Drosophila melanogaster: one gene and its partner. The protein of the gene in region 2 interacts with the protein of the main gene of each other region in a pairwise test. Each region holds a gene or a part of one and is shown on either strand. Other genes may lie near its edges. The genes, in order: CG3078 and SMC1.

What was found.
Region 1: the proteins of SMC1 (region 2) and CG3078 interact in a two-hybrid assay, tested with the Drosophila melanogaster proteins (one large-scale study listed by BioGRID).

Annotation. Positions count from the first base shown.
Region 1 is NC_004354.4:2,252,396-2,264,662, forward strand, and holds CG3078 (uncharacterized protein), read right to left. Parts: upstream 7,469-12,267; 5' UTR 7,326-7,468; intron 6,347-7,325; 5' UTR 6,080-6,346; coding exon 5,933-6,079; intron 5,872-5,932; coding exon 5,485-5,871; intron 5,104-5,484; coding exon 3,765-5,103; intron 3,707-3,764; coding exon 3,345-3,706; coding exon of another isoform or gene 3,279-3,344; 3' UTR 2,008-3,278; downstream 1-2,007. Other genes in the region: CG3091 (uncharacterized protein), read right to left, coding at 201-270, 329-465, 521-853, 922-1,003, 1,056-1,215, 1,563-1,692; temp (tempura), read right to left, coding at 8,299-9,020, 9,071-9,459, 9,556-9,641; CG3071 (uncharacterized protein), read left to right, coding at 10,501-10,593, 10,662-12,176.
Region 2 is NT_033777.3:24,056,400-24,067,724, reverse strand, and holds SMC1 (structural maintenance of chromosomes 1), read right to left. Parts: upstream 9,439-11,325; 5' UTR 9,325-9,438; coding exon 8,926-9,324; intron 8,871-8,925; coding exon 8,722-8,870; intron 8,664-8,721; coding exon 8,495-8,663; intron 8,437-8,494; coding exon 7,414-8,436; intron 7,351-7,413; coding exon 6,781-7,350; intron 6,715-6,780; coding exon 6,459-6,714; intron 6,403-6,458; coding exon 6,098-6,402; intron 6,035-6,097; coding exon 5,934-6,034; intron 5,869-5,933; coding exon 5,365-5,868; intron 5,305-5,364; coding exon 5,127-5,304; intron 5,066-5,126; coding exon 5,003-5,065; 3' UTR 4,910-5,002; downstream 1-4,909. Other genes in the region: Hsp68 (heat shock protein 68), read left to right, coding at 10,621-11,325.

The DNA of each region.
Region 1 (12,267 bases), on a different chromosome or scaffold from region 2:
TAGCCCCTTATTTGATAATAGAGAAATTGGTAAGAAAATAATAAAATATGAAAATAAGAATTCTTAATGGAGGGCCAGCTTCACTGAGCTCTAGAACCTGTAAGTGTTTCTGGGACTTTCCCAACTAATCGATATCTTCGCTTGGCAAGACGCGATGCTTGATCACATTTATGTTTATATCACGTTCGATGATCAGGATATCAGAACCAGGACCACCGACTCTTGCTCTGAGCGGCCACCTTCCAGTACCGCTCGTCGCTGAGATAAGCCCTATGAAGTACAGAATGGGTGGCTAAGATGGACATCCCCATCTAAAGGTAATACTCACGCGTTGTCCCTGATGGACTGAATGCCTTTCGCCTTGAGTTCCGCTACAGTGCCCGCCTTGCCGCCGTACTCGTTCGGCAACATGTCCCTGGGCACTTCTTTGTAAAGGCTATCCATACCCTCTGTGTGGTACCGGATCTGCAAGACGATTTGGTTAGCTAGTGCTTAGAATGAAGTACTTTTCAGGTTCTACCATGTTGCGGACTTCCTCCCTTAGGAAGGGCGACATCATGGATATGAGCTTGTCCAGGTAAGTGGGGCAGTTGATGACATGCATGGCCTGGAGTCGCGAGGGATAGGCTTCCTGCAGGAACTTCATGTAAACACGCAGCACGAATATGGACACGTAGGCCAGGTGGCGTAGGGTGTAGCCCCCAATGTCCACAATCTGAACATCGCCCTCGGCAATGTCCGCTTCGTCTAGTACGTAATCAGCTCCGCTTCCTGTTTCTCGCTCTACATCCGGCTTTGTGAATCGTGCATCACTCATCATGACAAAGATTTTGGTCTCCTCGACAGAATTCCGCTGTGGGAATAGCACAATTGTGGATCAATGAGTCAACAGGGGAAACGGACATCCGAGTCGAGACACACCGTTCGTGGATCCAGATCGGCCATGCGGAAGAAGATGAGCTTATTTCCCTGGGGAGTGACTCCGGGTAATATCAAAAGGTCCCTGTGAAGGGCAAATGTTAATACTCGCTCATTGAATCTTTTGCTGCACTTACGAAACCCTCAGGCCCTCGGCGGTCATCTCGTCCTCCATGTTGCGATCCATGAACAGATGTGGGCTCTTATTGCGCATACAATAATTTAGCTCCGCCAGGGCCTTGGTGCGTTCCACATCAAAAGCCGTGCACTTGAGGAATCGTAGCATAACTATTGGTTCTATCGGGAAGAATTGGAAATTTTGATAAGCTAGATGCTACTGCACTCACAACAAAAGATACATTGCAACTATATGAAGATAGAATTCTCAATTCTCAATCAATGTCCAATGTATCTGTGTGCATATGGCACTAGCTAAGTGCATGTCAGTCCAACTTCAGCAAGGAGGAAGTGCCTTGCTATCACTGGAGGTGCCTAATGCACTTGACCTTTGGCACTGCTCTGTTACAAGGTTTATGGATTGTTACCACAACAGGTTATTGCGCGCCCATTAATTCCGTCTGCCACTTGACTGGTTATCAATCGGAGCGAAACGCATTTGAAATCGATTCCAGTGACTCACTTACCGATCTTCTCGGGCAGATTGGGATTGGCCTCGAACCAGGCGACCAGATCCGTCAGCTTGTCGCTCCATCCAGTTGCTGGCGAAGCGCTGGTCTCGGGGGCGGAGTCCTTATCCCCTGTATCTTTATCCATTGTTGTAGCCCAATGCGTCTCTCAGGGGCCGCAGAAAGCCACTAACTAAGCAAGTAACTTAGCTAAGTACCCCCAATTGATAAAGCTAACTAGCCCGATCGCACACACACATCCGCTGGAAATGATACGAGTGTGTGACCACTATTCGGACGCGATCTTTAGCTTTTCGCGATCGGATCGGCGAGTGAAAGCTCCAATGCAAAGCTCCACTAGCAGCCGCACAGATGAGTCCAGTTGTTTGCAATTAAGCAAAGACGAGGGCGGTTTTAATTGCTCCATTGGAGAGCAAGCCGAATCAGCAATACACTCACTAATAGACTTGTTTTGAAATCTTTATTGGATCTGGAGATGGACACCTACAATATACAACACACATCCAATACACGTAGAACTCGATCTTATCGTACTTGGCTTCCTGTCCCACCGGTTTAATTCGTTTGCGACCAGCTTTGTTCAGTATTCAGATGGAACCAGCGCTAAGAAAAAATATATAGTATGTCTATGCCTATGTCTATGTGTACATGTATATGTATATATACTCGTAGTATATGGCTAGCAACATACTCGTAATACTTAGCCCGATGTATGAAATCGTCAAGGGTCGCAAAATGGTTACTCTCAAAATTTTTAAAATGTTAACATTGTTGCTTTTAGACCTTAGACCTTAGGATTTCACCTTGTTATCATAACAGTTTGCAGCTAGTTTTATCTGAATCTGGTTCTGGATCTGGATCTGGTTCTGGATCTGAATCGGGATGCATCTATGGGGGTAGGCAAAAGTGGAGGGTCTCGAAACCTATATAACGCACATAACACCGACAACACATACATACATAACATGCTTTAACTCTGGAGCGGATCGGATAAGATCTCTCTTCGGCTTATAAACTGCAAACTGGAGTTCCAATTAAATACACCTATGCCTTGGAGTTTACATTAGGAAATACACACAAAAACCTTTTTTTGGAGGAGCCTTTGGCGAAATACATAAATGTATACAGATACGGCAATTGATATCGTATCCATTTATCATCTCAGATCGGATATACTGGTACATATATAACGTTCTACATGCTAGATGCTTATTGTGGCTCATAAAGCTCTTCTCTCCTCTTCTCATGTTCTTCCTCTCTTGCTCGCTCGCTCGCTCGCTCGCTCACTCTCTCTCTCTCTCTCTCTCTCTCTCTCTCTCTCTCTCTCTTGCTTACTCCCTTTCTCTCTATTTCTCTATTTGATAGATAGGTTATAGACATGGAACAACATTACTGGCACTGGCAAATGCTATAAATTGAGAATGCACCCACTGAGAAGGGAACCCCCCATGAGTGTAGATCAAACCTATTAACTAGTCTTATCCTCTAGGCTCGTGGACAGAGGTCAATAGCCGGCTTTGCCCCCAGTTAAAACATCCTTCAAACTGTATCCCTCTCCGAATCGACCAACTTCTGTCCACAGAGCTTGAAGTGTAGCTTGCGTCGCTTGACTTGTGTCTGTCGTTCCATACTGACGGGCTGCGATTCGAGCAGATCTGGCCGCCGACCCGGATCCGGATCCAGTTCTCCGTCCGTATCCGTATCCGAAACATGTCACATGGTGTGCGTCCGGGCCACGACATCCCGTCGCATTCGTCGGGACTAGCTGAAGATGCTGCGTCATAAGCTGACGAGCGTCGCCTTGCGTTGCGCCTCCAATCGGATTTCCAGAGTGGCATATGGCGGCACACTGATGACGAGGAGCACCACCAATGCAATGATCTTCATCGATTCGCAGAGGAAGCCGTGACCGGCAAAGGTCAATCCCAGTCCCAGGAAGCGAAGGGCAAGAAGAGGCGCCTGGACCTCCGTTACATGACTGGAATGGTTGAGGGTGACCAGCGAGAGCAGGAGCGTCTCCCACATCCCATTACAGGCACCCCACGAGGCGGCAATCACGTAGAACAGGGCGCTGTCGTCACTCGAGGGCTTCCAACTGGACAGCGCCAGCAGTAGACAGGAGTGGAAGAAGAAACCAGCCACTGCAAAGAGAAGAGCGTTGTAACTTCGAGTACCCTGTGTCCATCTGGTGGTACTCACAAATCACGACGATCCTCTTGACGTGCCTTAGCAGCATGCTCAAGGTACAGGAGACGATGAGCTGCATCAGACCCATGCCAATCAACGCGCCGGCAATCATTCCGATGCCCAGCGAACAGGTGACGAAGGCCCTCAAGAAGTCACCCATCATATACGCCTGTTCCGTGCCCACAAAATAGGCCAGGGGTCCGGCAAACAGCAGGGTGTCCGTGATGCTTACATCTCTCGAACGCTCCGGTCGCGATGAGCCTATGGCCTGCACCTTGTCCACCACTATCAGCAGCGAAAGGGTCAATGATACCATGGAGAACAGAACGTACAGCCAGAGCAAGGATTGCCCGGCCACTCGAGGCTCACTTTCGATGAAGCCAGCATAGATGGAACTGGGTATGGAGCTCCCATTGGCCCATCCCGCCTCCAGGATTGACTGCACTCTGAGTGGACACATGTCTGCCCCACAGATCCTGTCGCCGTGCTCGTTCCTATTGTAGAAATCCCTCAGTTGTGGTGGCCAGCTCTCGTTTCCATAGTAAACCAATCCGGAGCAATCGCCCGTAAAGTTTCCATCGCTGCAGGCCAGCAAAATGGATGCCAGAAGGGCTCCTCCTATGAGACCCAGGTCCTGGGAAACCCTGAACCACCTGGCCAGACGCCTCACCTTCTGATCCCGATTGCAAAACATCTTGTGCTCCTCGTGCAAGACATCGACCGCCGCCTGCGACTGCTGGGAATCGCAGGAGCAGCTCAACTTCCCTCCAAAGTGGACAATCAACGCGGCTTTGGAGCCAGCGGATCCGCTTAAGGTCATGCCAAGCAGCAAATAGGCGGGTAGAAGGGTGTAAATGGAGGCGTACAGGTGCGACAGAAGAAATAGGAGCACTGTCATATAGTTTGCCACAATTAGTGGCCCATAACCATATCGTTTCATCAGTCGAATGCTGGGCAGGCTCATACCAGCGGCGACCAGGAAGAGAGCACTCAGCAGAAGGGATCCAACCTCCGGACCGAGGGGCAACCATTCCTCCCGATGGTGCCACACCGCATTGGAGCCCTGGAGCGCCATCACCGGCAGCAGAACGCAGTTCATCAGTCCGTGGGCCAAGCTTAAACAGCTAAACTGGCGCCACACTTTTTGGCGCACATGGGCTGGCACCTTGTGCCGGCAATTCCTGTTGTTCAGCGTTATCAATCGCCGTATGGAGGTGGCTCCAATGGAGCTGTTTATGGACTCCCGACGACGAGAGGCCGCCAGAGCAGCCTGCACCTGGTACGAGGACACCGGATTTATGCGATGCGACCTCGTCGAAATGGGTGACGGCGAGTATGTGGTGAAGTGCTGCTGGAAAAGATGCAAGAAAAGGGTATTAGGATATAGCAAGAATCCAATCATCTGGCAGGCTAATGGTATTACAGCCAGCTACCTTTCACTTTAACAATAGCAAAGGGGGAGTAGTCGGAGTAGGGAAGTAGTTGTAGTTCAACTTGGAAAGAGAGTCCGTGTCCGAACACTCACCTTTCACGACACACCAATGACCACAGGGCACCCCTTTTGTGCACACATCGCCACATGATAGTTGAGTGTCCAGGAAAAAAGGGAGATAAGCTCCCAGATTCTATTTATATGCGACAGGTGTCACCATGCCGGAAAGCAAGTGACATGAATTATATAAAGGCTTTTCACACAGAGGCGGACTTTTTATGTGTTCACCTGAGAACTCACCTCCATCATCTGCTCTTCCCAGACGTTCTGGGCTCCTCCTGAACTGCGGGTTCGAAGCACTCTGTGCCTGGTGGTCAGCGAATGGCGGTGCTGATGGTGCTGGTGCTGGTGCTGATGCTGGTGCTGATGCTGATGGTGGTGTGAGTGTGGGGCATACTTCTTGCCCAGTCCCAGCATCGCAAAGCCACTGGTGGCCACCGGAGCTCCCGAGCTGGTGGCCAATCCAGAAGCTGGGCCCACTGCCTGGTTCGGACCCTTTCCGCCAGTTGTCCCATTGCCACCGAGCAGCTCTCCGTTGCCTGTTGCAGTTCCTGAGGTGGCATTGAGGCTCAAGGATCCGCCACCAATCCCCAGACCAGCCATTATGTAAGCATTATACGACGATTGCTGAGTGGAGTAGAAAAATACATAAGTCGTAAGGAGGGGGGATCTACTCAGGCGATCTCACCTTGCGCTGCTGAGCAAACGCGGAGAGACGCTCCCGCTCGCGACTGGTGTCCCGAGCCCGCTGCTCCAGCAGAAGTTCGTACTCCCGTCGCTTCTCCCGCTTGCGCTCCGCCTCCTCCAGCTCGTGAAGATTCGGCAGACTGCCCATTTCCGGCGATTATTGCCAACTTATCAAAACCTAGCGCCCGTAGTGCGAGTTATGTGGATTGTGGGGCCACTGCGAATCCAGTACTGCCATCGCTCCAAAACGGCGAACTCATGCTGCTGCTCCACGGGCATCCCATTCCAATCCAGTCTGCAATTATTGTCCTTGCTGCGTAGGCGGGTTCATTGTCCGCCGCCGACCTGCCACGCCCCCAATTCCGCGTATAAGGCTGTGTCAAAACGCAAATATTGTTCTCCTGCAGCGGAATGACTGTGAAGTGGAAACAGGAAATGAAAAAGTTGCGAGGCCTGAACGGCAGCGCCATCTATCGGCTGCTTATCGAGTTGACACCTGCACCTGGAAACCGTTACTCGCACACACACACACATACACCTGGCCGTACGTGCACTGCATACTTATGTGGGCCATAGGCCCTACGTATGCGCACATGTTCTTTCCGTTGCCGTTACCGTTACTTACTCACTACATTCTGGCACATTCACTGGCACTCGCGGTCGCAAAAATAGGATGGTGGGAATAATAAGCTTCTAGGCTAGCTAATCCTAATCTGATTGAAGTCCTAAGGAAGTGGCACCTTAATGCTCACCAATTAGATTGAGTTTCCACTAGTAGGATTACTTGGCAACTCAATAATGTGCCTATTAGCCGCTGCTATTAGTGCAGCCGCGAGTATAGCTCCCTTGGCCGTAGGAACTTCGCACACACACCCCACCCCCCACACTGGCACAAAATCATCAGGTGTGTCCATTTTGTGTTATCTACACATGTGCAGCCGATGGTGCCCCAGGGTCAGGTATTCCGAGGTATATTTCCAGGACACGACGGGATGGTGCAGGACAAGATCCTGGGGATGCCCGGAGGGAACAGGTCCCGAAGACAATGGCACAGTACTTTGCAGCCCATAATCAACTCATAAACATCATAAACTAACCCCCACCCCTCACGAACACCACACACCCATGAAGTGAACTGCGATGGAGGCGTAGTTTTGGGCCCACGCCCCTTGGGCCAGGAAAAGTGGGTGGGAGTTATAAAAAATGCAAAGAGGGCGGATGGAAAACGAATATGAATATTTTAAAACCAAACAAAGACGGGCACAGAAAAGCGCACACACACTCTCGATGCAATGCTCCCTTGAAATCCTCTTGGCCTGTACACATGTATCCACAAACGGAACCCCGTTCAGCAAACTAAAAAAAAAAATCGAATAATATACTTTGTTTATTACTTTTGATTTCTCGGTTGACTGGAATGCACTTTTTTTCGACGAGTCGGAAACAAATTGTTTGTAAGCCTTCAAAGAAGCCAGCACTTTCGCCACTCAACACTCCACAAAACACCGCCGCACGCGAACTGCTCCAGAAACACACTGAAAAGCTGGTAGGGATTACGGCCTGGCGATTCTGAGTCCGCTGCTGAAATTGTTGTCATCTCAGGCCTTCGGCAGCATCTCGCACATCCCACCTCGCATCCCAGGCATGCGCAATCGATACTCGTTACCCCACAATCCCCAGTTCACTCGGGGAAGGGATGGGATGTCATGGCTGTGGCTGCACCGCCACAAAACGATACCATCCCATATTACAACTGCTCTGCGCAAAAGAAACCCCCATACAATGCATTTTGAGTGCTCATTACGGCCATTACCGAATCGATATTCTCGAAATGAACGAGCCGAACTGGCTCGACGTTCAAAACTGCATAAAAAAGGCGTCGTCTATGATTTGGATTTATTTAAAAACTAACTGCAATTGGCTAACAACAAACACGTGCATGGCATGGCGATAATCGGTTAAGTTTTACTTCTGAACAAAGGGCTAACAAATCGTGCCCGGATCAGATTAAGAACAGAAACGAACAGGTAACGCTAATAGATATCGAAATGCAATTGGCGGACCAGTGAGATCCGTTGTCATATCGGGCTAGTTGAACTTTGTCTTTGGATCGCACATTTATAGTAGAGTAGAATAGAGGCATTTCCGTTTCCAAATCCGTTTTGAATCGTCTTCCTTTCTAGTATTTTACTCTTTAACAATTTGTCTTGCACAAGTTTCTGTATTTTTGGGACGATAATTAGATAGGAAATAAAACACACGTCTTTATACACTTGCCACATTTCAGAACGGATGGGCAAACGGAAAGGCCGGGAGTGAGTAATTCTATTGGGGTAGATTGATTTGAGCTTTATCAGGTCGCGCTGTCTAGTCCGCTGGATATCCAAAGCTGAGGTGAAGATTGCACCACCGCCGGTGCTTACCACCCAGGGTGGACTCCTCGCGCCGTACGGCACTTAAAAACGGATTATCTTCAAAGTCAAAGTTGCCCAAATGCGAACGCAGATCGCCTGACGCCACTGGTAACAGTTGGCCATTGGGCAAGCCCATTTGCAGGCGCACGCACTGCTCCACGATGAACTTGAGTGCCGCACGGCGATGCAGCTCGAAGCAATCCCGCGATCCGTACATCAAGCGCTGCTCGGCACACAGACGCATATCGTTGGCGGCAACGTTGCAGCAGTAAAGAAATGATATTAGCCTTTGCTTGCTCACGGAACTCAGATCCACATGTGGTAGCAAGAGACCCAGCAGATCCTCAGCGTTGGCTTCACATTCCAGGCCATAGCTTGTCATTAGATGCTGCAGACTGGCCAACGTAGACGAACCACTGGCTCCGGAATCCTTGGGAAGGGCAAAACTGAGCTCATATGCACGACTCAGGAGCACTTGGCGGTAGTGGTAGCAGCTGTAGTCACTGATGTGCTTCCGCATAAACTTCTCCGTGCGTAGCAGTTCCGATTGCAGCAGGCATGGGCCGTTCTGAAGGATCCACTGGCGGTGCGACCAGGCGTGATAGTTGCTGGCGCATCTATCGGCGGCCCTTTCGCATATCCCGATCTCATTGGGCCAGTCAATAGCATCGGCACCTGGAAATAATGGAATGAAATGGGATCCCCAGTTGCCGACGTCCACTTACTTTGAAATGAGTACAGCCAACGGCGGTAGGCGAATGCTTCATTGGACTTCGGTTTGATTGAGAGCACGAGTGCGGAGAACTGCAGCTCCTTGTTGATGCTCAGCCGATTCTTTTGCACCAGCTGACGGCGGATGTGCCAAAAGGTGGTCACATCGGGATTAATCAGCAGAGCCACGTTTAGGTATTTGGCCAGGGAGTCGCTCTGCTGCTGCTGCTGCAGCGTCCGCAGCTGTTGCGCCGTGGTTTGACGGCGATGGGAGATGAGGGTGCGGTGGGCGTGGTCGTAGACATGCTGGGCACACCACGATTCCAGGCCCAGATTGTGCTCCACATGCACAACCGGCGATTTGTTGCAGTTGGCTTCTTTGGGTATAATTTCAAAGGAGGCGCTGGTGGAGAAAAGAACAATATATTCGGACATCAAGGCTTGCTTTCATTGCTAACAGTCTGATTAGATCTATAGTAGAACTAAATGCTGGACTCACAGATCCTGATCCTTGAGGAACACCGCATTGATGTCCCTGATGATCTTCTCGCAGAGCACCTTTTTCTCGTTGCGTTCCTCCTCCATGGAATTTGAGTATAGTCCGAACGTGGAATTTCAATGGGGATGTGGTTTTTGCTTCCTCGGGGATCTCGCTTCCGTTCCGTTCGATTCGAGGGTCTCAGGCACATTGATTGCCTCCAATTAATATGAACATGCTCAATGTCTCCGGTTAATTAAGATTTGGAAAGGGGAGGAAGAGGAGAAGATGGCGGAGGCTGGAACCCTGTCTACGCGACTATGGAACCCCCAAAGGCGGCCGCATCACAACAAATAAATTTCAATTAAGCCGGGGCCTGGACACGAGATCTAGCCTTTATTATTATTATTATTTCAGTGCCCAGTGCGAGGGGCTGTCAATCTGGTTCACCCCAAAGCGCGGTTCTCCGGCGGATCGGTCCGCAAGCTCGGAAATGTGTTCCCTTTTTTTGGCGACGGTGAGCATATGTTTGTTTGCAAACATGTGTTTGGTGTGCACAACAACAGAGGAGGCACTTGCCACGATAACCTACTAACCGCGACGTCAGAACCAACTGTCGGGAAAATGGCTATTGAAAGCAGGCATTAGCTGGGACATTAGAATTTTTCAATTTTTTTTTCCTTTTTTCTACAGTCAGTATTATCAGTACATTTGCTACATTCATATATTTTTTCAGTATTAACGGAATTATTTCTTAAGTATATGCGTTTAATAAACAGTTGATAGCAGAATGATTAAGATATTTAAGAAAATTTATTGAATTCAATGAGCACCTCCGTATTTGTGTGCACGCGGATTTGGCTAAAAACCAAAATGTTTGCCACCACTGTTACATTCCGCTGGTCACACTCTTCCCATCTAACACGTGCGCGCCCGAAAGAGATTTAGTAGAAATACACAGACAGGATGCAGAACTCCTTTCTTCCACTGAACACACGGCGTTTTCGACAGCGGGCCCAGGTGGAAACGCCGGATACGGTGTACTGGGACCGACTGGCGGTGAGTTGTATAGGACTAGGCAGAGAGGCTCGGCAACCAAATCATTGTTTCCCCTCTGCATTCCACAGAAACCAGAACTACTCAAGGAGCACAACACCATCGATTATTTGGACTTCAGTCCAAGCGATCCTGACAACTTTGTTGTGACCTGTTCGGTGCGCGTTCAGATTTACAACCTGGTGACCATGCTTGTGGTAAAGAACCTTTCCCGATTCCAAAAGACCGCATACGGCGCCACCTTCCGGCAGGATGGTCGACTCCTGGCCGCCGGCGACGAGGAGGGCCATGTCAAGCTATTCGACACCACCAGTCGCAACATCTTGCGTTTGTTCAAGGGACACACGGCACCAGTACACCGCACCTTCTTTACGGCGGACAAGCTGCAGCTAGCCAGTTTTGGAGACGACAAGTCGGTCCGTCTGTGGGACGTGGCAAACGAGAAGGTGGTGCAAACGTACGAGGACACGCACACCGACTACGTTCGTGCAGGCGCCATGCATCCGCAGGCAGGGCATATGTTCGTCTCCGGCGGCTACGATGGCAAGATCAAACTGTACGATACGAGAGCGGAAACGGCGGTGCAGCGCACCTTAGATCACGGAGCTCCGGTGGAGTCCATGTTGTTCCTTCCGAACGGCTCTATTTTCGTCAGCGCCGGCGGCAGCCAGGTGCGCGTATGGGATCTCATCAGCGGCTGCCGTCTGCTCACCATGATGTCGCAGCATCACAAAACAGTAACTTGTCTGCGACTGGGATCCGATGGCAGGAGATTGCTCTCAGGCGGGCTCGATAGGCACGTGAAAATCTACGATGTGAGCACCTACAAAACAGTGCACACATTGACTTATCCCAATGCGGTGGTCAGCATGGCTGTTGCTGACGGAGATCAAGCAGTTGTGGCTGGAATGGTCGATGGTCTAGTCTCCATTCGTCGCATGATGGTAGACAGCAAGCCCAGTCATTTGAAAAAGATTCGTGCGGATCGCGCTCGAAAGTACTTCGTGAGTACGAAACGCACGAACAACACCCAAGAGGTTGATCACACCATCAAGGACCACGTCAAGGGGCCTGGATTGAAATCCTACGATGTGCACTTGCGCCAGTTTAACCACAAGAAGGCTTTGGACGACGTGATGAATGCGCAGAAGATGCAATACCAGCCGGAGCTCATTGTGGCTGTCATCACGGACCTTCTGCACCGTGGATCACTGGGAAAAGCCCTCACGGGTCGTCATGAGGCAGCGCTTGTCCGATTCATCGACTTCATTTGCAACCACTTGGGCGAGGTGCGATTCATGCGCCCGCTGATGATGGCCGCGAGCACGGTCCTTGATGTCTTCGAGCAACGATTGGTGGCCTACAGCCAGAAGCTGATGAAAGCCTTGCAACGATTGTCACTTGCAATGCAGGAGGAGGTGAGGCTCACCGCCGAGCTGATGCGGATGAAGGGTGCTGTGGATATGCTCATTGGGATTTCAATGGACAATAGCGAGGTAGCCCATAAGCCCACCTATGTGGAGACAAAGACACCTAAGATGCATCCCTCCGTGGCGGCGCAAAATTATGTGGTCTTAGTTGAGTGACCCAGGCCGACGTAGAACAACGATATAGCCACATAGCTTTGATATTAAGTATATAAGTAGTAGTAGTTTAAGTATAAAGCAGTTTCAATAC
Region 2 (11,325 bases):
GAAGCGAAACAATAGGCCTATAGACAACTACACTTGGACACCCAGAGATGCTAAATCAGATCGTTCGGTTTATATTCGTTAAATTTTCCATGTAAATAGTCATTATAATTATTATTGTGGTCTACGCTGAATTGTGACGTGAGCAAATTCAGCGGTTATCCCAGGAAAACCGAAAGTTGTAAACATAAATCTAATATTTATTACGAAACTTCATATGTGTGCTTCTTGCAAATGCTATGATTGCAAAATTAAAAACGAAATACAAAGCAAAGAGACGAAAGAGCAGAGGGCAAATCTATTAATTAGTAATTATTATAATGTGATGTTATATATATAAATCAATCTTTAACAAGAAACCTAAAGCAAGTAAAGCAGAAAAATAAAAAAAATATACAAAACTGTTAACCAACGTAACAAATTTCACTAAGTAGATTTTTCGAATTAAATTTAAATTATAATAATAAAAAATTATAGCAAGAAAAGCGGATAAAAAACAAAACAAATTTGCTGTAAACACGATATAATAAAACTGCGTTTTTCTACTAAAAATGAATATGTAAAATGATTTTTCAAACTTAGATTACCTACCCCATATTCCTAATTATATAAAAACCAATTATATATATATATAAATTACGAATTCTATGTAAATGTTGTGCGTATATAAAGCAAAGCGTAGAATCCCACATTCAAAATCTTTCAGTTATTTATTATGTGTGTGCTATATCTTCTCTATGTATACATAAAAAGAGCGCTTGGCTTCGACTAGCTAACATTTTGGGCCTTAAACCAACCTACTCAAGCCGGGGCCTTGGTGTTCTTCTTATTACCCAGCATTCTTCAGATCGATATATCTATATACCCCTGGGGAGGGGAGCAACCCACACACTAATCGTTATTCTATATCTACGTGAATGTGTTCGTTTCTAAACTTGTAAAAAAGCACGCACCCCTCTCCGCTCAGACACGAAATGTTTGTAAAATATTGAATGAGAGAAAACGATGGAAAATACGAAATTAACCTATAATATTAATACGATTTTCGAGAGTAAAGGAAGAAAACATTTTAGTTTTTCTACTTGAATCGCATTTCTTCCACTTTTCACCAATCAAATTAAATTTACATGAAAAAACGATACGAAGAATTGAATTTTGAGTCTCTTCAATCCTCAAGCTCAAAACCCTAACAAAATTAAAACAAACTTAAAAATAATGAAGTTTCTAGGTTCTATTATTTAGTTGTCTTGTTATTTATATGTTTAGCTTTAGTTCTTGTCTAATTTATTTATAAGTTTTGGCTCCGCAATAAATACAGACAATTATATATATTTTTCTATAATTTGTTTCATTTTATCATTTTATTGATTGTGAACGAAAAAGGAAAAAAATAAACTTAGAAAAAGATAACAAATAAATTGCTAAATTTAAGCGCAAAAGTTCAATTAATAAAAATTAGAATTTTAATATTAACATAATTTGGACTATTTATATATACATACGCATATATATACAACTCTATATATGAATAATTAGTAACAAATCAAATCAATTTCCATAACAACCGCCAGACAAAAAAAAAAAACAAAAAAAATATATATATATTCTTAGTGACGAGTGCAACAAAAATCACTCGTGCAATTGTACTTTAAAATTGAATAAAATTCAAAAAAGAAAAAAATTAACAGTGGAGGTGGAAAAGGAACGAATGGAATGGAATAGAGCGTTACGTGCAACTCTGTTTTGCGTAGGGTTGCCAACGCCAACATGCAGGCAGCCTTCAGAAGAGGTCAGCAATAGTCGAAACACAAGCAGACGCACTCACACACATGGCTTGAGATGAGAAGAGCGAAAGGGACAGATAGAAAGCAGTGGCTTCAGCGCGATGTTGAATTGATAGATTGATGATTATTTTTGGTGAATGTGTCGTGCATTGGGAGCAGCAATTGCAACAATAATTCCAGGCATATCGAAGCATTTTTACTCAGCACTCAGACGACAGCAATCAGCGAAATCGGCAACCAAAACTGATGGCAATAACAAGCAAAAGAAAACCAATTCGGGATCAGAGAGCGAAGACAAACAGGATGATGGAGAAACCACACACAGAGACACAAACATACACACACACAAACACCATAACAATAAAGGACGAACGCAAACAAGTAAATACTTAACGGGATTCACATATGTATATTCAAGAAGCAATAATGAAAGTATATTTCCAAGTATGATAAAACAACCAAGAAAGTCGAGAACTAACATGATTAAATATTTATACATATATTTTAATTATAGTTACAAATTAGCATATATATAAATTATACATACATACAAACATATATACCGAAGATAGTCCAAATAATTTAGCAAAGAATGAAACCAAACGAAGTAAAGTTTAATATTTACAAAATATTAAAAATATCAATGTGCAATTTAACAAGCGTTTAAAACACCACACTGACACAGCCACACAAAAGTAATGCTACACCTATATATACACACATATGTAAACCGATTATAAACATTATATATGCGTATATATAAACAAAGTCGATACGAACTAACGATCCATTTAAGAACAAGAGAGAAGGCGAGCGACGAACTTTAGTGGCGAAAAACAAATTAGTTTTGTGTGCGCACACGAACACCACAGTAAACCCTACTTAAAAGGAAATCAAAATTCAACTAACAAAACCACACGAAACCAAACCGCGCTAAATGCTACAAAAAGCGGTTCAAGTCAAGTTTTTGAGCAAATACTCATAATTGTTAAAAATGTTTAAATAATATAATAACAAAAGCAAAAAAAAAACACAAAAAATTAATTAAAAACCAACAAAAATCCGTAACAAAAACAAATTGCATATTATCATATATTTTCTCTCTTCTTAGACAATTTAGTTAATTATGAAAAGTAATGAAAAAAAACCACATTATACTTAAGTGTTAGTCTTATACATAGAGAAATGTATGATTAATAAATGCAGAAAAAGAAAATCATGGAACAGCAGCCGATGAAAGTAATATGTGAAGAGCACAGTAACAGCAAAACAAAAAAAGTGAAAACAAATTTAAAATAAAAACCAGCAAAGAAACAAAATCGAAATGAGAAAAACAAAAGTTAAATTAAGAAATTAGATTTGCCTTTGTGTTAATATCAAGTGTGTTTCTTATTACCATTATTATTATAATTTTTTCATTTCCAATTGGTCAGACGTGTGAAATGATTTCCTTACATATTGATTGAGAAATAAAAAGTATTAAACAAAAAAAAAAGCTATAAATGGTGTTTTTACTTACTCAATCCTCCCTCGGCATGGCATGGTTTCCTCGGATCATTAAATATAACTCAAAGTAACTGTTTCTAACTTACATATTTCCTTTCCCCCTGCAGGAGGATAGCTTATCAGTATGGCACCGGACTGCCACTGATATGACCAGTACAACACGTATCCGTGATACGTTACGCAGGATATTAAATATACCTCTAACAACGGCATTGGAGTATAAGATACACTGTGATAGCCTTAAATATGTTTCAATGTAAGTAAGCGGAAAGTAATATTTTAACTGCCAACTAGACAAGCTTGTAGCTATTAGAGAATATTTGCATAACTATCGTTAACTAATCTGGTAATTCGAATACCACCTGTACCATACGCAGGCCGAGACGTCAAAATCATAAGCTGGGAAACCTTTTTTATCGAAATCGATACGGCTTTAATTCAAGATACGGAAAATCATGATACAAAAACCCAACTCGATTATCAAGATATTAGTGAAGTGAATTAACTTTTAATTAATGATTTGGGATGGGAAACCAGCAGTGGCCATGCTCATAAGATCTTCGAACTAAATATCCAATATTCTTCTTCTTCCTTTTTTTTTTGCAGTAATAAAGGCCCATTGAAAAGCTGAAATTCAGTGAATAACTATAAACAAAAGAAAAACAAAAACAATAATTACACAAACAGATAATATAAGTCGGTAGTGAAAGCAGCAACAGCCACAACAGTTCATCGACAGCACAGGACAAGAGTTACACCAACAGCAAGCACAATGAACCATCCTGGACACAATAGAAGAACATCATACCCAACGGAATCAAAACACCAACCATGAATGCCGCATCGAGAACGAGGACAACCCGAAGATCAAATCCACAGAAAGGCAAATTAATATTTAAGCGCTAATGAGACAAATCTTTGTATTTACAAGTGTGTGTATATATGAAACGCCATAAACATTTTAGTTCGTATGTATAAAGTATAAATTAGGCATTCCCTATTAAAGAAAATCAGAGTCCCACTAATTGCACAGAAATCGAAGCCTGAAGCCTCTCGAATCTGGCTTAATCGATACTATTTTATTTTTTTTTTTTTTAGTTTACCAAACCTTATCTCAATCTCCCACAGGCGTGCCCTTGTATCGTAGCCTTATCGATTATCGCCATAGCCGGCAGGCAGCCAACACACAAAAGATAATAATGAATCAATGAAACTGACACACTAACTAGCCGATGCAATATTTATCTGTTTGCAATGATTATTTTAAATTAATGATACAAACCGAAACTGAATAATCAAATTGTTTGTTTTTGTTCTTGATGAAATACAAAAAGTTTTTTACGTGAAGAAAAAAAAAAGAGAAAAACTAAAAATTGAAACTAAAAGCAAAAACCCAGTTGTTTTACATATACCAAAAGCATCCATCCATCAAACCATAATTTCACACATCCAAACACATTTAACTTTCTCCGGTACAGTACAACCAACGCAAGCCTAAATAAAGGAAACTATTAAAGTTGCAGAACATATTTTCAAAACATCTAAGTGGTTCCTATCTTTCTTTGAAGTAAGTATAATTTTCGAATTACTAGAGTGTGTAATGGAATAGTTTGAAAAATTGTACGTCTACACATTTACTGGCTTTATTAATTGGAAATCCCGAGATTTACTTTAAAGTTACATCTAATACTTAATATACATCCGACATATGAACTTTACGTGTCCTCGAACGTTGTCAAGTCCATTATGTAAACATTTGATACGAGACAGTCGCCTTCCTGGAAGTCAAGAGTAAACCAAAATTAGGCTTGCCTAAACTTACACCAGTTGAGTACGTACCCCAGGCGTAATGCCCACAAGAGCATCAGCATGACCATAGAACTCTTCCTTCAGGGAAATGACGATGGTTTGCAGGTTGGTTGTGTGATCCCTTATATACGAAGCGACTTTGCCAATATTCGTGTTGTCCAAGGCGGCATCAATCTCGTCAAGGACAAAGAACGGCGCTGGATGAAAGCTGCATAAAAATATATTAATATTTACTCTCAAAATGTGGAAAAATATTATATCTGCATACCTGTGGGTCGAGAAGAGCAGAGCCAAGGCTGCTATTGTTTTTTCGCCACCACTCAAGTTGTTCATGGGTTGGAAACGTTTGCCTGGCGCCACACAATTATAGTTAATACCATCCAGATATGGTTCCTCAGGATTGTCGGGACCGATATAAGCCTGGGCTGCCTCGTTGCGAGCCAATTTCTTGTAGATGCCGTCAATGGCGTCCGATATGTGCTGGCAACACGCAACGAATCGCGAGGAGCGTTCGTTCTTAACCCGTTCAAATGCCGCCTTGGCCCTCTTTGCTTTCTTGCGCGCATTCTCAAACTCCTCATTGGTGGATTGCACTTTTTCCGTTACAGCATCGAGTTTCTGCAGTGCTTTCATGTTGGGTGTCTGTATGCGCTCCAAGACGTCCAGCTTGCTTTGCAGGTCCTTTTGAAGCATTTCGTGGGTCTTTTTGAAAGCGGAGTCATCCTTCAGCTTGGTATACTCTCGTGGTAGAGATGAATAATCCACTTCAATACTGAAAATGAATCAATAACGTACTTTAGTTCAGTTGTTTTTGATGCTGTGATTAAATAAACTTACATATTTTCCATCGCTGCAGAGGTGGATGGGACATCCGGATCGCTTTGTCGCACTGCGTCGTCCAGCGAGCCGCGCAACAGTGGTACCACGATGCAATCGGTCTACAGAGTGAATAATACATTATAAGACAGAGTAATAGTTATCATATAATTACTTTAACTTACTTTTGCTTGCAACAGTATGTTCTGACGTTCGTTTTTCTTGGCCTCGATCTTAGACTCTACCGCAGATAAATGACTGCCCACGTTATGGATCTCCTTGGCCAAATTTGCCACATCCTTGCGAGCTTTAGATATGTCCTCTTCCATGTCATCCACGGCTTGCTTCTTGGCCTGCTTGTCCTGCTTGAATTTTTCCATTTTCTCCTTATCCTCGTCGATTTCCTTTAAATAGCGTGCCTCAGCCAATTTGAGTCCCTCTAGGGCATCTTCCTCATCCTGCACGCTGCGCTCCCAGCGCTCAACGTTTTCTGTGAAGGCAGGCATTTGTTTGGCATTTTAAAAGCATAGTATTTTGTATACTTACTTTTAGTGTCTTTCTGTTTCTCGAAGTCCAGCTGCGAGTTTATGGAATCAATCTGCTGCTCGAACTCAGCCCGTTTACGCGCTCGCTCTTGCTGCATGACGAGCTCACGCTCCTCGTATTGTCGTATGTTCTTCACGCCCAAGCGACGGCAGAAAGAGGCATATACTTTGTCCTCCACATTGTTCATGTTTTCTTTGATTTCCTGGATGTGCTCCTCGCGGTTTTGCATACGACGCTCGATCTCAAGGATCTTGGGCTGCAAAATTGGGATAGACAAGATTATAAATTAGGTTTAATTTTGTAACTTGAAAGGGAAACTCACTCCAAATTCGTCCAACTGCGATTGGACTTGCTGCAACTGATTGTCATACTGACTAATTGACTTCTTGGAGGACTCCAAATCGACCATACTATATTTAAGCCTGTTTTCAAGACCCTTGATCTGCGACTCCACAGTGGCGAGCTCACTCTGCTTACGTGACTTTTTCACCAGCTCCTTGAGCTCTTCTTGAAGGCGCTCCTTCTGCATTTTCAGCTGAGCCATGTGCTTCTCGTCCCATCGCTTAGCTTTGCGAGCCAGATCGTGACTACCGCCAGATATGAGACCCGATTTCTGGTAGAATGTTCCGTCCAGGGCCAGAGCATCGAAACGTGATCGGTCTATCTCGTAAGCCACTTTCATGGCGTCCTCGGGAGTCTCGCAAACGAGAGCATTGCCTGTGGCGAAGAGCACAGCCCGTTCGATCTCTTGAGGCTCAAACTTTAGTACATCGAAAACCAATCGCACGTTCCGCGGGTCGCTGATGTTACGAAGTCGTTCCTTCAGAGGCTTAACTTGCAGATAGTCCAAGGGCAAGAAGGTTTCCACTTCCAGCATTTGCTCCTTCAAGATCTATAGAACATATAAAATCGTCAATGCTTACATGTAAATCCCAGTTGATCAACTGAAACCCACCTGAATACAGTGTCTAGCCGTCTTTTCGGTGTCCACAATAATGGCTTCCATGAACTTGCCCAAAACTTTGGTGACGGCCACATTGTAGCGTTTATGCGTCGGCTGACACATGTTAATCATACGGTCGTACACTCCGGGAACCTGTTTTTTGAAGAGCTCCACCACCTCCTGCTTCTTTTTCCTACGAGCATCCTCGTGCTTGTCGCTCTTGGCATCGCCCAGTTGATCGCGTACGTCCTCCAATTCGCGTTGCTTTTCGGCTATCTTCTCCTTGGATGTGCCAACATCTCGCCGGAGCTCGTCCTTGATCCGGTTCTGTTCCTCCAAGGCAGCCTGTGATGATTTGATGTGATCCATCAGTTTGTCTCGACGCTTTACAGCTTCCTCGCGCTGTAATGTGAGCTTCTTGAAGGACTCCTCTACGGAGGCGCGACGATTTGTCTCCCCATCAAGCGTGTCCTGTTCGGATTTTTGCTCCCGGTTTACTGAGTCCAGCTCTGAACGGTACTGCGTAGCTGTGGCTTCCGCCTCCTGCTTCAGGCGATCGTACTCTTGCACAAGGCCCTCTTCCATGTTAACGCTTTTGCCGCGGCGCTGCGACTCGTTCTCGATCTCGTCCTCGAAACGTTTTTTCAGGGCCTCCACATCAGCCAGCTGCTTCTCCAGTTTCCGTATGTCCGACTGATGGGCATTGTCCGCCTCCCTGGCTGTTTCCAGAGTCTTCTGTAGGGAAATGAGCTTCTTCTTGCAGTGGGTAACTTTCTCTTTGGCCTTGATGTAAAGGGGCCTGCGTTTGTTCATCTGGGTTTCAAACTCTCTGATTTCCTGATCGATTTTGGCCAGGTCTCGGGTGATTTTTCCGGCGTCTTTCTTCTTTTCGCGCAGGATTTCATCGGCAGCTTCTTTTCGCTGTTCGACTGCTTTAACTTCCTGTTGCCTCACTTCCAAATCGCTCGTAAACTTCCGGATGTCCCTCTCCACGTGGAATAGCCTAAATAATTGATACTCCACTTGTTTTTCATTCTATTAGAATAAAAAGATGTAGCTAATTGGATAGAGTTGGCAGAATAAAGAGTCATACGTATTCATTTTGCAGGCGAGTGTAGCGATCAGCTTCCATCTTCTCGTGCTTGGCTTCTTTTCTTTCCGCCGCGATGCCCTTCTTCTTTTGGTAAGTAAACTGGGTCTCCTCCTCGGCAACAATCATTTCTTGTTTAAGTCGATTATAGTCGTCCTTAAGCAGGCCAGAACTGGAAAAGTGAACACGGGTCAAAAAATCCGGATTTTAGGTAAAAAATTAAAATTTACCCGCTAATTTCCTCAAATAGAGCAGTGCGTTCCTTGGGTGTCTTCATGGCTATGTTCTCAACAGCTCCCTGGAATACTAAAAAGTTCTTGGCCTTAACATTGATGCCAATTTTCTCCAGCTTGTTCAAGTACGTGCTGCTCGATACGCTCTAAATGGGGGATATGATTAATTGGCTAATAAGAGGATTGGTTGTCAATACGAACCTCTCCATTGATACGATATTCCGAGGAGCCGCCGATAACCGCCCTCTGGAAGTCCATGTGGCGCTCCTCGTTCAGCACAAATTTGGCGGTCACGTAGCAACTGCGGGAAACGGGCTTGCCAATGGAGGAGCCATGGATGAGGTCGTTCAGGCGCTTTACTCGCAAACTGCTGGTCTTCTCGCCCATCACGAAACTGATGGCATCCATGAAGTTTGACTTGCCTGATCCGTTGGGCCCAATAACAGCGTTGAATTGCTTCAGAGGACCCACAACTATGTGACCGCGGTAGGACTTGAAGTTCTCCATTTCGATGTACTCCAGGAAGGCCGTCTCGTCGTCCGGCTTGCGGACGGGCGCCGTCGCCACCCTTTGGGCCACATCGTCGTCCTCTTCGGTCATTCACACGCTCGATTGCAACAAATATCCAAGAAAAATAACAATATGAGCGCGAAATAATTTTTTTTCTCTTATGACAGTATGACCGTATCCGGCTAACGCCATCAATATCAGACGCTAGAGATGGCAAGGCGTAGAAAACAAACTATCGATGGGATACATCAGCGATAGTACAATTTTCATTTCAAATTAACCACTATCGATTACTATCGGTCGTCTTTGTTTACAAAATACAATTTGTAAACAAAAACATTTTAAAACTAATGAATAATTTATAATCTTGGGCTTATGCGAACCGAAGGCATTTTCGGTTTAAAACAATCATCACTGTAGATTTTCCAATGGCTTGTTCTTCATTTCAGGATCTTTTCATAATACCCTTCAAAAGGTCATGGAAATCAGAACTATATATATATTAATATGTACAATTATCTATACATTTTCATATGTATATTCATAATGCAAGCTGAGATTTTTTTCATTTGCTCTTGCATCTTAAAATTCCCTATTTATAAACACATTAAAGATTGTATCGATCTACGAAGTATTCTATATACATCCTATCTATGTACATCCTATATATGTATCTATATATTTATGTATCCTGGATATAGAGCAGTACGATTCTTTAAATTTTTGGAAATAATTAATTGGAATAATTAAGTTTTGAAAAGTGTGTTCAACTTTTAAGGTAATTGTATGTCATATTCTGCAGAGGAAATATTCCAATCAGAAGAAAAATACACACATATGTATTGCACATATAATAAAAGAGATATAAACCAAAAACAGAATCTAAAAATATGAATGGCTTAACGTATCAATCCGCAAATCAGCCAAAAATAGCTTGCATACGAATTTAGTTTAATGACCACTTGGAATGATGACCTATGTCAATAAAAAAAATATATTTCTCGAAATTTCCTGAACTTTCAGTCCTTTCAACTGACAATTTCCCCTGCGAAGTGCACACTAGTTGACTCGCTCGCACACACACGAACTGACTGGAATGTTCTGACCCTTTCTCGCAGGGAAATCTCGAATTTTCCCCTCCCGGCGACTGAGTATAAATACGGGCGCAAATTTCCCAGACGCTACATTTGAAATCAAACAGCCAAAGTGAAAACACTTCAGCAAACGAAAAATAAAAAGCAGTTCAGAGTGACAGTTGAAAACTGAAACGTCTTTACCAAGTGAAAAAATAGAAAAGCAAAACGCAAAGAAGCATACAAATTATTGAAAACTATCCACAAGAAAACGCACCCAAGTTCAAACTAAAAAGCAACAGAAATAGCCAAGATGCCAGCCATTGGAATCGATTTGGGCACCACATACTCCTGCGTGGGAGTCTTCCAGTACGGAAAAGTGGAGATCATTGCCAACGACCAGGGTAACCGTACCACACCATCGTACGTGGCCTTCACCGACTCGGAACGCCTTATTGGAGATGCCGCCAAGAACCAGGTGGCCATGAACCCCAAGAACTCTGTGTTCGATGCCAAACGCCTGATTGGGCGTCGTTTCGACGATTCCAAGATCCAGGAGGACATTAAGCACTGGCCGTTCAAAGTGATCAACGACAACGGCAAACCAAAGATAAGCGTGGAGTTCAAGGGCGCGAATAAGTGCTTCTCTCCCGAGGAGATTAGCTCGATGGTACTCACCAAAATGAAGGAGACTGCAGAAGCCTACCTGGGCACTACAGTGAAGGACGCTGTCATCACAGTGCCGGCCTACTTCAACGACTCCCAGCGCCAGGCAACAAAGGATGCTGGTGCCATCGCTGGCATCAATGTGCTCCGCATCATCAACGAGCCAACAGCGGCGGCTCTGGCCTACGGCCTGGACAAGAATCTGAAGGGAGAGCGCAATGTGCTGATTTTCGATTTGGGCGGTGGTACTTTTGACGTCTCCATCTTGACCATTGACGAGGGATCCCTGTTTGAGGTGCGCTCGACTGCGGGAGACACACATCTGGGTGGCGAGGACTTCGACAACCGATTG